2 linked regions of the Arabidopsis thaliana genome follow. The protein of the gene in region 1 purifies or fractionates together with the protein of each later gene. This does not show direct contact. Each region holds a gene or a part of one and is shown in the gene's direction. Other genes may lie near its edges.

The links. Proteins that work in one complex are often made in the same cells at the same time.
Region 2: the proteins of AT4G25030 (region 1) and AT5G35740 purify together in Arabidopsis thaliana (affinity purification with mass spectrometry, with the first as the bait; one large-scale study listed by BioGRID). This does not show direct contact.

What each region holds. Positions count from the first base shown.
Region 1 is NC_003075.7:12,861,754-12,868,076, forward strand, and holds AT4G25030 (Serine/Threonine-kinase), read left to right. Parts: upstream 1-2,698; 5' UTR 2,699-3,017; exon of another isoform or gene 3,018-3,276; intron 3,277-3,553; 5' UTR 3,554-3,582; coding exon 3,583-3,708; intron 3,709-3,783; coding exon 3,784-4,050; intron 4,051-4,243; coding exon 4,244-4,885; 3' UTR 4,886-5,074; downstream 5,075-6,323. Other genes in the region: AT4G25020 (D111/G-patch domain-containing protein), read right to left, coding at 1-179.
Region 2 is NC_003076.8:13,908,514-13,913,306, reverse strand, and holds AT5G35740 (Carbohydrate-binding X8 domain superfamily protein), read left to right. Parts: upstream 1-2,081; 5' UTR 2,082-2,211; coding exon 2,212-2,281; intron 2,282-2,360; coding exon 2,361-2,615; intron 2,616-2,700; coding exon 2,701-2,735; 3' UTR 2,736-2,995; downstream 2,996-4,793. Other genes in the region: HK2 (histidine kinase 2), read left to right, coding at 14-654, 741-1,229, 1,315-1,564.

The sequences.
Region 1 (6,323 bases):
CTCCGACGATCCTCAATGGGAGGTATAACGTATTTCGGTTTGGAGTCGGTTAGGGTTTCGGAAGGATCGAATTCGGTGACGAACTGCTTGAGATTTCCTGCACCGATGCAGTCTTTCCTGTCGGAATTCAGACTAACTCTGGATTTCGATTTGGGAGGGAGAGAGAAAGAGAGCTTCATGGTGATGATTGTTACCTAGGAAATTATCCGGCGAGAGTCGCTACAGTCGACACTTTTGGTTTTGAGAGGTGGTAATTCATCATATAACCAGTTTACTGGGCCTATGGGCCATCCCTCATTTAGCACGTGTCTTCCTTTTTTGTTTTGCCTATGGGCCAGGGTTTTTATTTTTTGTTTTGTCTGTTATTAACACTTCTATTATTATTATTATTTTTATTTTTATTTTTAAAAAACACTAACTTCAGAAAAAATAAAAATAAAAACCTTCAGTAAATCTTATAAAAATCAGGTCTCGAATCCACTACGTTTCAGTTTTCACTCATTTATGCGTTCATTATCATTTTATCGACAATTATTGTGAAAGCGTGGTGGGGTTGAGACATCATAAAAAAATTTAATTTCAATTCTTAAAACGATGTCGTTTTTAAGTTATAGCATCAAATACGTGTTATTTTGACTCAGCAACCGTAACAGTTGACTATTACCCATTATTTACGATTTTGAATTGTGCAGTAACTGTAAAGTCCAGATATAAAATTCAAATTTTTTGAAGTTTGAATATGAATTAATCCTATAATTTATTCGCGTATGAAAATATACTTAACAGATTTTAAGGATATGAAAATACTTTTTACTTCATATGCATATGTATATACTTGTTTGAACTTTAAAGTCAATGGAGAAAATACACTAGAGGTTACAGGTGCTGCCGCTGCAATGCAACATGTCGTTTATATAGTAACTGATAGAAACTATCAACTAAAGTCTCATCACTAAATTTTCCTTAAAACTTATTACATTACTCACTACTACACAATGCATTAAAAATAACATATTTGAAAGTATATTGTGTATGCTAATTTTTGATGTGTACTTAAATCTCATTATTGGTATATAAGTAAAGAACTTTAAAAACTAAAGATAGGCAGTAAAACAAATCATACATAAAATTTACGTTGAAATTAGTTTGAATCAAATTTGCGATCTACAGTTTTCGTGTAAAACTAATCAAAGAAAAACGATTCAAAATAACCAATATATTTTGAAATGATGATTAAAACTTGGCGACAAATGAAATAAAAATAAACAATGGGAAAAAGTTTTGTGTTGTTGACCAATTAGAGACCAAAAGACTGGTTTTTGTAGTAAAAAGCAGATTACGTACAAAACAATTTAGCGGGTGGGTATATGGAATTTAGGTTCAGAATATTTTCTTCCTTTTAGGATTAGGGTTTGTCTTGCAATTTAGGATGTTATTGGACATCTGTTCAATTATGGATAGGTGGGAATAGGGTTTGAGTCTCACATATAAATCCTTGAATTTTCCACTACCATGTACATCTATATATGAAACTTCATAAAGTCCGATTTAACAAGTTTGCAGTATGGCGAGATCTGTTTTGGCATCTTAGAAACAAAGCTTAACACTAATACAAAAATAAATATTCGTCAAGAACAAGAGTAGATGACAAACAAGCTAAAGGAGGAGGAAAACAACTAAGATAACTAGCAAAAGATAGCATTTCATACTACAAGTATAAGGTAAAAATAATAAAGGCACAAAAATACCCGGAGAAGGCATTTCTTTTGGGTCTCTTCAGGTGTCTCACTCTTAAACTTCTTGATCATCTTCTCATTCTCAAAGGAGGTGTCGCTCTAGTCTTTACCTCATACATTCTTTTGTTCATTTTCTCTTTCTTATTTTTTTTTTTTTTTCAACTTTCGTTTAATGTGGAGATTTAATATGTAATTCTTATCTAAAAGATAATTAACTTTTTGCTTATGTTTTGCTTATTTTTAGTCTTTTTTTTTGTTAATATAGTTTCTTTGTTTTTGTTTATTTATTTTTAATAATTGTAGACAAAAATAATTATTAGGTTTTTAAATTAGTTTGATGTTTTTAAGCAATATAGTTGTTGGCGGCGGAGGAATACATGTACTGAAGATAAACACAGTTAAACCTTTTTAGTAACCGAACCGACCCATTTGGATTGAGATAAAATACAATCGAATAGTTTGAGTCTTAGATTGGGTTTGGTTTGGGTCGGTTTGAGTTCGGTTGGGTTGGGTCGGTTCGGTTAAAATGCCCACCCCTACTTTCCCATCATCCCCTTGACAAATTAATAACCAAATTAGTCATAATCCAATCTTTCAACATGAAAACCGGAATATGAGGGTCAAAGCGGACCCATTAAGAGAAAAGGTGGGTCAGTTGACACACCTTAAATCTACAAATAAAGTTTAATGCATGAAATTTGTTAAAGAGATAATAGCTAAGTTGGTTTATCATGTGTCATTGACACCCCCATTATCCAAGTTCAATCCTTCCCTATGTACTTTTTCGTAAAAAATTTCTTTTTATATATTAAACGAAAAAACTATTGACTCAGGTAAAAATCTTTCCTGGGTCCGCCGGTCAACGAGGAGGAAACACGACGGAATGAGAGAGAGAAGTTGGTGGCCTAATTTTTGTAGGAGAAAAAACACACAGAAAGAAAAGTAAAATGTTGACAAAATGGGGTTGGGAAATTGAGAATAAAAATTCAAAGAAGGCATGCATATTGCAATAATAATGTGCGATTTGTCAAACAAGTGGGGCTGTGAGAGAGAGCGCGTGGTCAGCACGAAGAAGAAGCAGGTACAGAGTTTTATCACCAGCTATCTATCTTTGGTTTGTTCTTAAATAATAATCAAACGCCATCTCTCTCTATTCTCTATCTATCTTCTCCACGTTACTACCACCTAACCTCTCATCCACCTTTTCTCCTTTAAGCATATTTCATTTCATCTCCGAAAGGAATTGTATCGTTCCTCACACACGCCTCTCATCTCTTATCCGTAAGTTTTGTTTCTCTTTTCTCTATTGATGTACCCTTTTGCCCATATTTGTGCTTGTGAACTCGCATTTGATCGTTTATGCTAGATCTGGTTTGGGTTTAGTCGTTTAGATGCTCGTCAAGCTCCCTTTGAATCACTAGTGCTCTTAGACTCTTATATTTACTGATTTGGAATTTTGTAATTCAAAAGTCCGAGTCTTTTGATGAACCCCCGTGCCGACCACACGATTGCTTTCAATTTGGGCTTCTTCTTAATTTTGGTGAACTATTGAGGATTTTTGCAAGTTTCTGTGTGAATCCTAGAGTAGAATGACTCAAAAATGATTTCTTTTGATTCAATTATATGCGATTGTTAATGTCTTTGAGGTTCTATGATCTGGAATTAGATTTTGGTATTATCTTAGTATATCAAAGCTTAGATGATGTTTCTTTAGCATGTAACTACTATTGTCCATATAAATTGCATAACTCATTTAACTTTCGAGCATTCTCTGCGTCTCGATTACTTATATGGTTCCTTTGTTTGTTTTTGTTCAGATTCTTGTCCTTTTTTCAGCTCAACAAGAATGGATAATTGTACTGGAGAAAATCCCATGGCTTCTCAGTTGAACATTCTCCGATGCCCGTTCTTGAGGAACATCAATGAGCCCACTAACCTCTCTTTCTCTTCATCCTTGCCTTTTCCCATCCCTGTAAGTAACCGTCTGTTGGTTCACTCCATATTGACATTTCTTATAGATTCTGATCTTGTCTCATCATATATATAGGCAAGAGCTGGGAAAGGACCTATATTTGAAGATGGTCCCAATTTTGATACGGCGTTTAGGCTTTTCCATGGCCAAGATGGAGTTGTCCCTCTCTCTGACACCGCTCGAACTGAAGCCCAGAAGCCTGTGCCTGTATTCCATCCACTTGCTGCTAAGGCGGCCACTATTAGTCTCTCATCCTTTGGATCTGGAGGGCCTTTTGGATTTGATGCATTTTCTGACATGTTTAAAAATCAAAAGAAGAAGTCAGATTCATCCAAAAATAAGGTAAAGGTTTTATGAGTTTCTTGCTCAACATTTATCTTTTAAAACTGATGTGCATAGGTAAAGAAATGTGTCTAAGGAAATAGTTAAGCTTCTAAGATTGCTTAAGTAGTATGCAATGTGTTGGCTTATGAGATAGAAAATCATGATATTTCTTTTCTCTTAGAGCACCGCTTAATTGTTGTTTCTCTTTCAGGGAGGAAACCACGAAGCCATGGGCGACGAATGGCTTAAAACAGGAAACTGCCCAATAGCAAAATCATATCGAGCTGTAAGTGGTGTGGCACCACTTGTGGCAAAGATCCTGCAACCCCCTCCAGGCATGAAATTTAAATGCCCTCAAGCAATAGTCACAGCTCGAGCAGCGATATCAAAAACACCTTTCGCCAAGAACCTCCGTCCACAACCTTTACCAGCTAAAGTACTAGTGATCGGGATGCTGGGCATGGCGTTAAATGTGCCTTTAGGGGTCTGGAGAGAGCACACTGAAAAGTTTTCGGCATCTTGGTTTATAGCTCTTCACGCAGCGGTTCCATTCATAGGAATACTGAGAAAGTCAGTGTTGATGCCTAAAACAGCTATGGTATTCACCATAGCAGCATCAGTTTTGGGACAGGTGATTGGGTCAAGAGCAGAGAGGCGGAGACTCAAGTCTGTAGCTGAGAAGAAGTTGACATTGGAGGTACCAAATCCGTCTTCTGTTGAAGCAGATCAGATGCAATTTGCCGGAGTTTCATCAGATGGAAGATGCGGTGATAAAGTGGTGATGAAGTGGAATCCCATGATGCTTGATGTTGCAAGCCCTGTGTCTTCCGGAGCAGCTACTGTTGTCTGCTAAAAGGATTTTGTAATTCTCTTCGAGGATTTATATATATAATTGTTTTTCTTGTATTTTTTTCGGCTGATTGTATTTAAAAAGTTTCTTAATGTTTGAGAAAAACAAGAATAAAGCCATTTTTTAAACTGTTAATTGTATTTTAATGTAAAAGACTTGTTTGATTGAATAAAAGGAAAGAGAAGTTGGAAATTTGGTGTTTATGCATCTCATAGGCAAGTTTTCAAATATGAACAATGTTAAATGAGTCGTTCAATAGTGCTTATGATATCGTGGTTGCAAAACATCAGTTATAGAGTGGTTGATGGTGTAGTGATTAAACATTGCATTTCGTGATCACTTGTTTGGGTCCACTCTTGCATCCTTGCTAAACCTACTCCAAAATTGGTAAACCTACTCTGAAGTTTGCAGAACTAGTCTAAAAGATTTTCTTAAAAGGCAGGCCACTAGATAGAAGAGAAATCACTTACAAGAGTTTCTTAAACTTTTCTTTTTAAAGATAAGTGATTATGGAACATTAAACTTAAGTTTACTCTCATAACCTCTATTATCATCAAATCTCCTTCTTAAATTTTTTTTTTTTTTTTTTGAAACAAATGGATTTTATTAAAAATACAAAAAAAATTGTATATTTGGATTACGTCAACTCTTACAATTTTGCTAGTCTCATAGAAAGATGTCATACAATGCTTGCATGTATTGCTTATAACAGTACGTGTGCTTTTGTTATTTCTTTTCTAGTATTGTAATTGCGTCGTACAAGAAAACTTATAAGATGCGTCGGAATTCGAAATAAAACAAATAAGGTTGGAATGTATCACATGATTTTCATACGTTTTTACAATTTCTGATAAGTCCCCCTTGGTATGATGGTATCGACTTTGTTTTCAGAAAGTTGAGTTTGTTTCTTTTCCGAAAACTAACGATGTCAAATAATGTGAATTCACAACATATATAAAAAAATGATAAGAAGAGAGCTTAATTTTGAGCGAGTGTTACAAATTAATTAAAAACTGTGTCTAGTTTAACACTTAAAAAAATTGCAATTTAAATGATAACTACCCCTGGATTATTTTCATAACAATTTTGTACATGAAAGAATTTAAGATAATATATTATTTTACCAAATTAGAAAAGCTAAAAAAATAAGTACTATAATTTGTTGTATTTAGTGAAAGAATAAATGTTGCTGGGAAAAAAAGTGAAAGAATAAATGCTTTGGGTATATACCTTATATTAAAAACAAAACGAAAAAAAATTAATGATATTTGTTACCATATATATTATATACAATCTATAAACAGAAATTAAGATAATTTATCTGAAAAGTGTTTTCAATGAGGAAAATAACAATAAACAGAAAAAATGAGGTGTATGTACAAAGATTTGTTACCAAATTTAAAGTATTCAAACAGAAAGTACCCATCTGTTTAGGCAAAGG
Region 2 (4,793 bases), on another chromosome or scaffold:
TACTTAATAACAGTTCACACAGGAAAGGGGACACATATTTATCTCAGTGCACCTTGCAGATGAGGTAAAGGAGCCTCTTACTATTGAAGACGCAGTGCTAAAACAGCGACTAGCTTTAGGATGCAGCGAGTCCGGTGAGACAGTTAGCGGGTTTCCTGCGGTAAATGCATGGGGAAGCTGGAAGAATTTCAAGACATGTTACAGTACTGAGAGTCAGAATTCTGATCAAATCAAATTGCTAGTTACAGTGGAGGACACTGGAGTTGGCATACCTGTGGATGCACAAGGCCGAATCTTCACACCTTTTATGCAAGCCGACAGTTCCACATCGCGGACTTATGGTGGAACTGGCATAGGTTTGAGTATAAGCAAACGTTTGGTTGAACTCATGCAAGGAGAGATGGGGTTTGTGAGTGAGCCCGGGATAGGCAGTACTTTTTCATTTACTGGAGTTTTCGGGAAAGCAGAAACAAATACGTCGATTACTAAGCTGGAACGATTCGATCTAGCTATTCAGGAGTTTACAGGATTGAGAGCATTAGTTATTGATAACAGAAACATTAGAGCAGAGGTCACCAGGTACGAACTTCGGAGACTGGGAATATCTGCAGACATTGTTTCAAGTCTGAGAATGGCATGCACTTGTTGTATCAGGTACTTTACGTACATTAGTGTCTGTCTGTCTTTAGAGATTATAGTGAGTTCACTAAAAGCGTTTTATTGTTCTGGAATCTTTGCAGCAAATTAGAAAATTTGGCTATGATTCTAATAGACAAAGACGCCTGGAACAAGGAAGAATTTTCAGTACTTGACGAGTTGTTTACCCGAAGCAAAGTAACCTTTACAAGAGTCCCAAAGATTTTTCTTTTGGCAACTTCTGCAACTCTTACTGAGCGCAGTGAGATGAAGTCTACTGGTCTCATCGATGAGGTGGTGATAAAGCCTCTTCGGATGAGTGTCTTAATATGTTGCTTGCAAGAAACCCTTGTCAATGGCAAGAAGAGGCAACCGAACAGACAGCGAAGAAATCTTGGACACTTGCTAAGAGAAAAACAGATTCTGGTTGTGGATGATAATCTTGTGAACAGACGAGTTGCAGAAGGTGCACTTAAGAAATATGGAGCTATTGTTACATGCGTTGAGAGTGGCAAAGCTGCATTGGCAATGCTTAAGCCGCCTCATAACTTCGATGCTTGCTTCATGGATCTCCAGATGCCTGAAATGGATGGGTAGATAACTATTTTTCAATCTTATCTCTTCAGCTTGTTCATTTCTTGGATGTCGTCCTTGGTAACTTTATAATTTTTTGCGCAGATTTGAAGCGACAAGGAGAGTCCGTGAGCTGGAGAGGGAAATCAATAAGAAAATAGCTTCTGGAGAAGTTTCAGCTGAAATGTTCTGTAAATTTAGTAGTTGGCACGTCCCGATATTAGCAATGACAGCAGATGTTATTCAGGCTACTCATGAAGAATGCATGAAATGTGGAATGGATGGTTATGTATCAAAACCGTTTGAAGAGGAAGTGCTCTACACAGCGGTAGCAAGATTCTTTGAACCTTGTTAAAAGAAAAAGCCATTTCCCTTGTAGGATTATATATCAACCCGAGAGCTTTTTGACATCGGGTAGTATATCTTGAACATCCATGACCTGCAATTCAACTTGAGATCAAGGCAAGAACCAGTTCATTGTCAATTTTTCTTCACAGGTCTCTTTCAGCTTAAGACCTCGTCTGGTTGAGTGAGAAAAACTGCGAAAACCGATCTTTCTCTTTGTATAGACACTTTGTCTTCATTGATCTCTGCCTGTGTGTATAGTAGATTCCTAGGGTATAGCTCCATTATATTCATTTTATATATATATAAACCCAAACTCTGTCCTCTTAACTATGAAACAGCTTGTATATTGTGTAGTAATAGTAATGGCTCTTGATTACATGATAGGAAGCGTATAAATGACAGTGTGTTCTGAAAAGCTTCCAGAAGCAGAACAAAATCTTCCTCAAAAGTCAAAACCAATGCAGATCTGGCACATGATTGCATCTGAAGCAAACCAAGATTCCCTAGTCATAGATCTTGAACTTTTGGACTAATGATTCTTTCTAACTAGTATAAAGGGTATCAAGTTGCACTCATTTCCTTAGCTCCCAAACTTCCTAACTAGATAGATCAGATCTGGATCTCTCTGCACCACTCATTGCCTTCTCTAGAAACATGTCAACTTTCTTGATAAGGATACTTCTTCCTTTGCTTATCATAGCAATGACTCTTCCTCGACGTTCAGGTAAAAACACCACTGCAATGTTCATACTATGTCCCTTTTTTGGCCTTATGCAGATGTATGTGAGTGTATGTTTAAGCAGAGGCAGAGTCGGAACAATGGTGCATAGCGGATGAACAAACGCCAGACGATGAGTTGCAAGCAGCCTTAGACTGGGCTTGCGGAAAAGGTGGAGCAGACTGCAGCAAAATGCAGCAGGAAAACCAGCCTTGCTTCTTGCCTAACACAATCAGAGATCATGCCTCCTTTGCTTTCAACAGTTACTACCAAACTTATAAAAACAAAGGTGGTTCTTGTTACTTCAAAGGAGCTGCCATGATCACTGAGCTTGACCCCAGTAAGCTTTCTCCTCTCTCTCTTTCTCCCTTGAATCTTAGTAGATAGTGAACCATCTGTTTCTGATCCAGCTATGATTGTGACAGGCCATGGTTCTTGCCAGTATGAGTATAACCCCTGATTCAAACGACACAGCAAAGACAAGATACAGCAAGATGAAAAGCTATGATTTTGCATTTATACGTTTTCTCTATGTAATGTTTTCATTCCAAAGCAGTATCCATGTACTGTTCTCCCATTACACTCCAGTCTGAGATAAAAATTTCTTCAACAACCTGCTTTTACTGTGCATTGAGATTTTCTACAGTATCGAATATACATCAATCTGGTACTATTGCTCAATCTAGAGTACTTAACATGTAGTCACAGACTCGCAGTAATAGGCTGATTCCATTTCTGTTTAGAATACGTTGTTATCACACAGTGCTACCATATAACAACATTGGTTCATTCTGTTCATGGAAGTGAAAGAACAAGTGTCTCCATGAATGTAATGGAAATACATACTTGAATCAAGTCATATACAGTATAGGAGCTATCGATATACTACAGAGATCCATCAACATCAACTTTGTCTTTACAAGTTCTCCTCTTATTTAAATCCACCTAATGTAGGTGGCTATATAATAATGGACTAACTAAACTGGTGCGGCCAAAACAATTAACTATACAGTCAACTAATAATTTACCCTGCCCTTGTACTAATCTATGTTAATAAGCCTTAAACCTGCAACAAAATGTTTAGCGTTGTACAGACACTGTTCTCACCGCATTCTCCTGACAAGCTATGCTTTGGTGTTCTGATTGTGGCATGTCCTGATTGGCAGCTAGGTCTTTGGTTTCATCTGATTCTCCTATTATTTACTCCAAAGATTTGGCATCAGTCTTTGTTTGCCTGATTTTCCATATTGAAGCGCCACTGTCATCATCAAGTTGGCCTTTTGTAATGGTCAAAAGGGCTAAACTCTGTGGAGTCGCATTGGCATCTTCTGCTATACAACTCAGATCTTTGTTCTTAACTTCATCAATTCCTTGCTTCAGTATCTTCTAGTGAGCAAATGTCCTTCCTGGGGGCATATCATGGTCATGTTTTCCCTCGTATGTCGTTATAAGCAACTTCGCATCACAAGATGACCTTTCTACCTGTTTCTTGACCGCACATCCAGAACTTGAACATCTATAGTAACTCCTGATTCAGCAGTTACATTCTCACGGATAAAAGAGTTGTTCCCTATTGAACCAGACTGCAAAGGTAAGCCAGTACTTTCTCAAGAGTTGTTAATGCTTTTTCAGATTCCTCGGAAGTAATATCTACATCACACACCGCTTGAAGCTCCTTGAAGTCTGCGAATTTAGAATCTAGAATCTCATTGACAAACCTCATTGATGAAGTTCTTTGACTCAACAGTTTTTAGTTCCCGTTCCAGCCTCTACATTATCAGTGACAGCATCATCTTTTTCAGTCCCGCTTGAAGAAGCTGGTTTAAACTCATATGTAGGAAGTTCTTCTATTGCAGCCATATCAATCAACCAATTCAACGTGATCTCAAAGCCAGCAAGAATCGCATTCACTCCACGTTAATTTAGCTGCCAATGCCTAGAACAGTCGAAACAAACAAGAAAATATTACTTCTGCCAAAACCTGTAACCAAAAAAAAAAGCAACAATGTAAACCAAACAAATACAAACAAGAATTTTTAATTGATGTAAAGCAATGATTCAAGAATAACAAACTCTTCAGTAGAACAACTGAGAAACCTAAGGGCATAACAGAATACTTTAAATCCTAAGTAAAGCAACCAAAGTAAGAAAGGCAACAGGTTCTTGCTTTGGAGAGCCTTCACATTCTACCTATAACTAGGATGATCAATGAGTGGCGATTCAACCTTGAGGCCAGCTCTGGATCCACCACAATCTCAAGTTTGAACCTTTACATAAAAGATTCATACAATATACCTCAAAAATTCTGTTTTAGGCGAGTGTTGTAGTATCACTGATCACTCATGAAAAGGATCTAACTTTCTACTTAGATTTCATTGATATAGGTTAAAAAAAAACTATTCTTTCGAAATCATAAGAAAATTGGTAACTTGCTTCCATTTCCAGGTGCGAAAGTCAAAGGATTAGTACTCGAACGACGAGAGGGAAGGGAATTGAATTACTTGTACAAGAATGCATC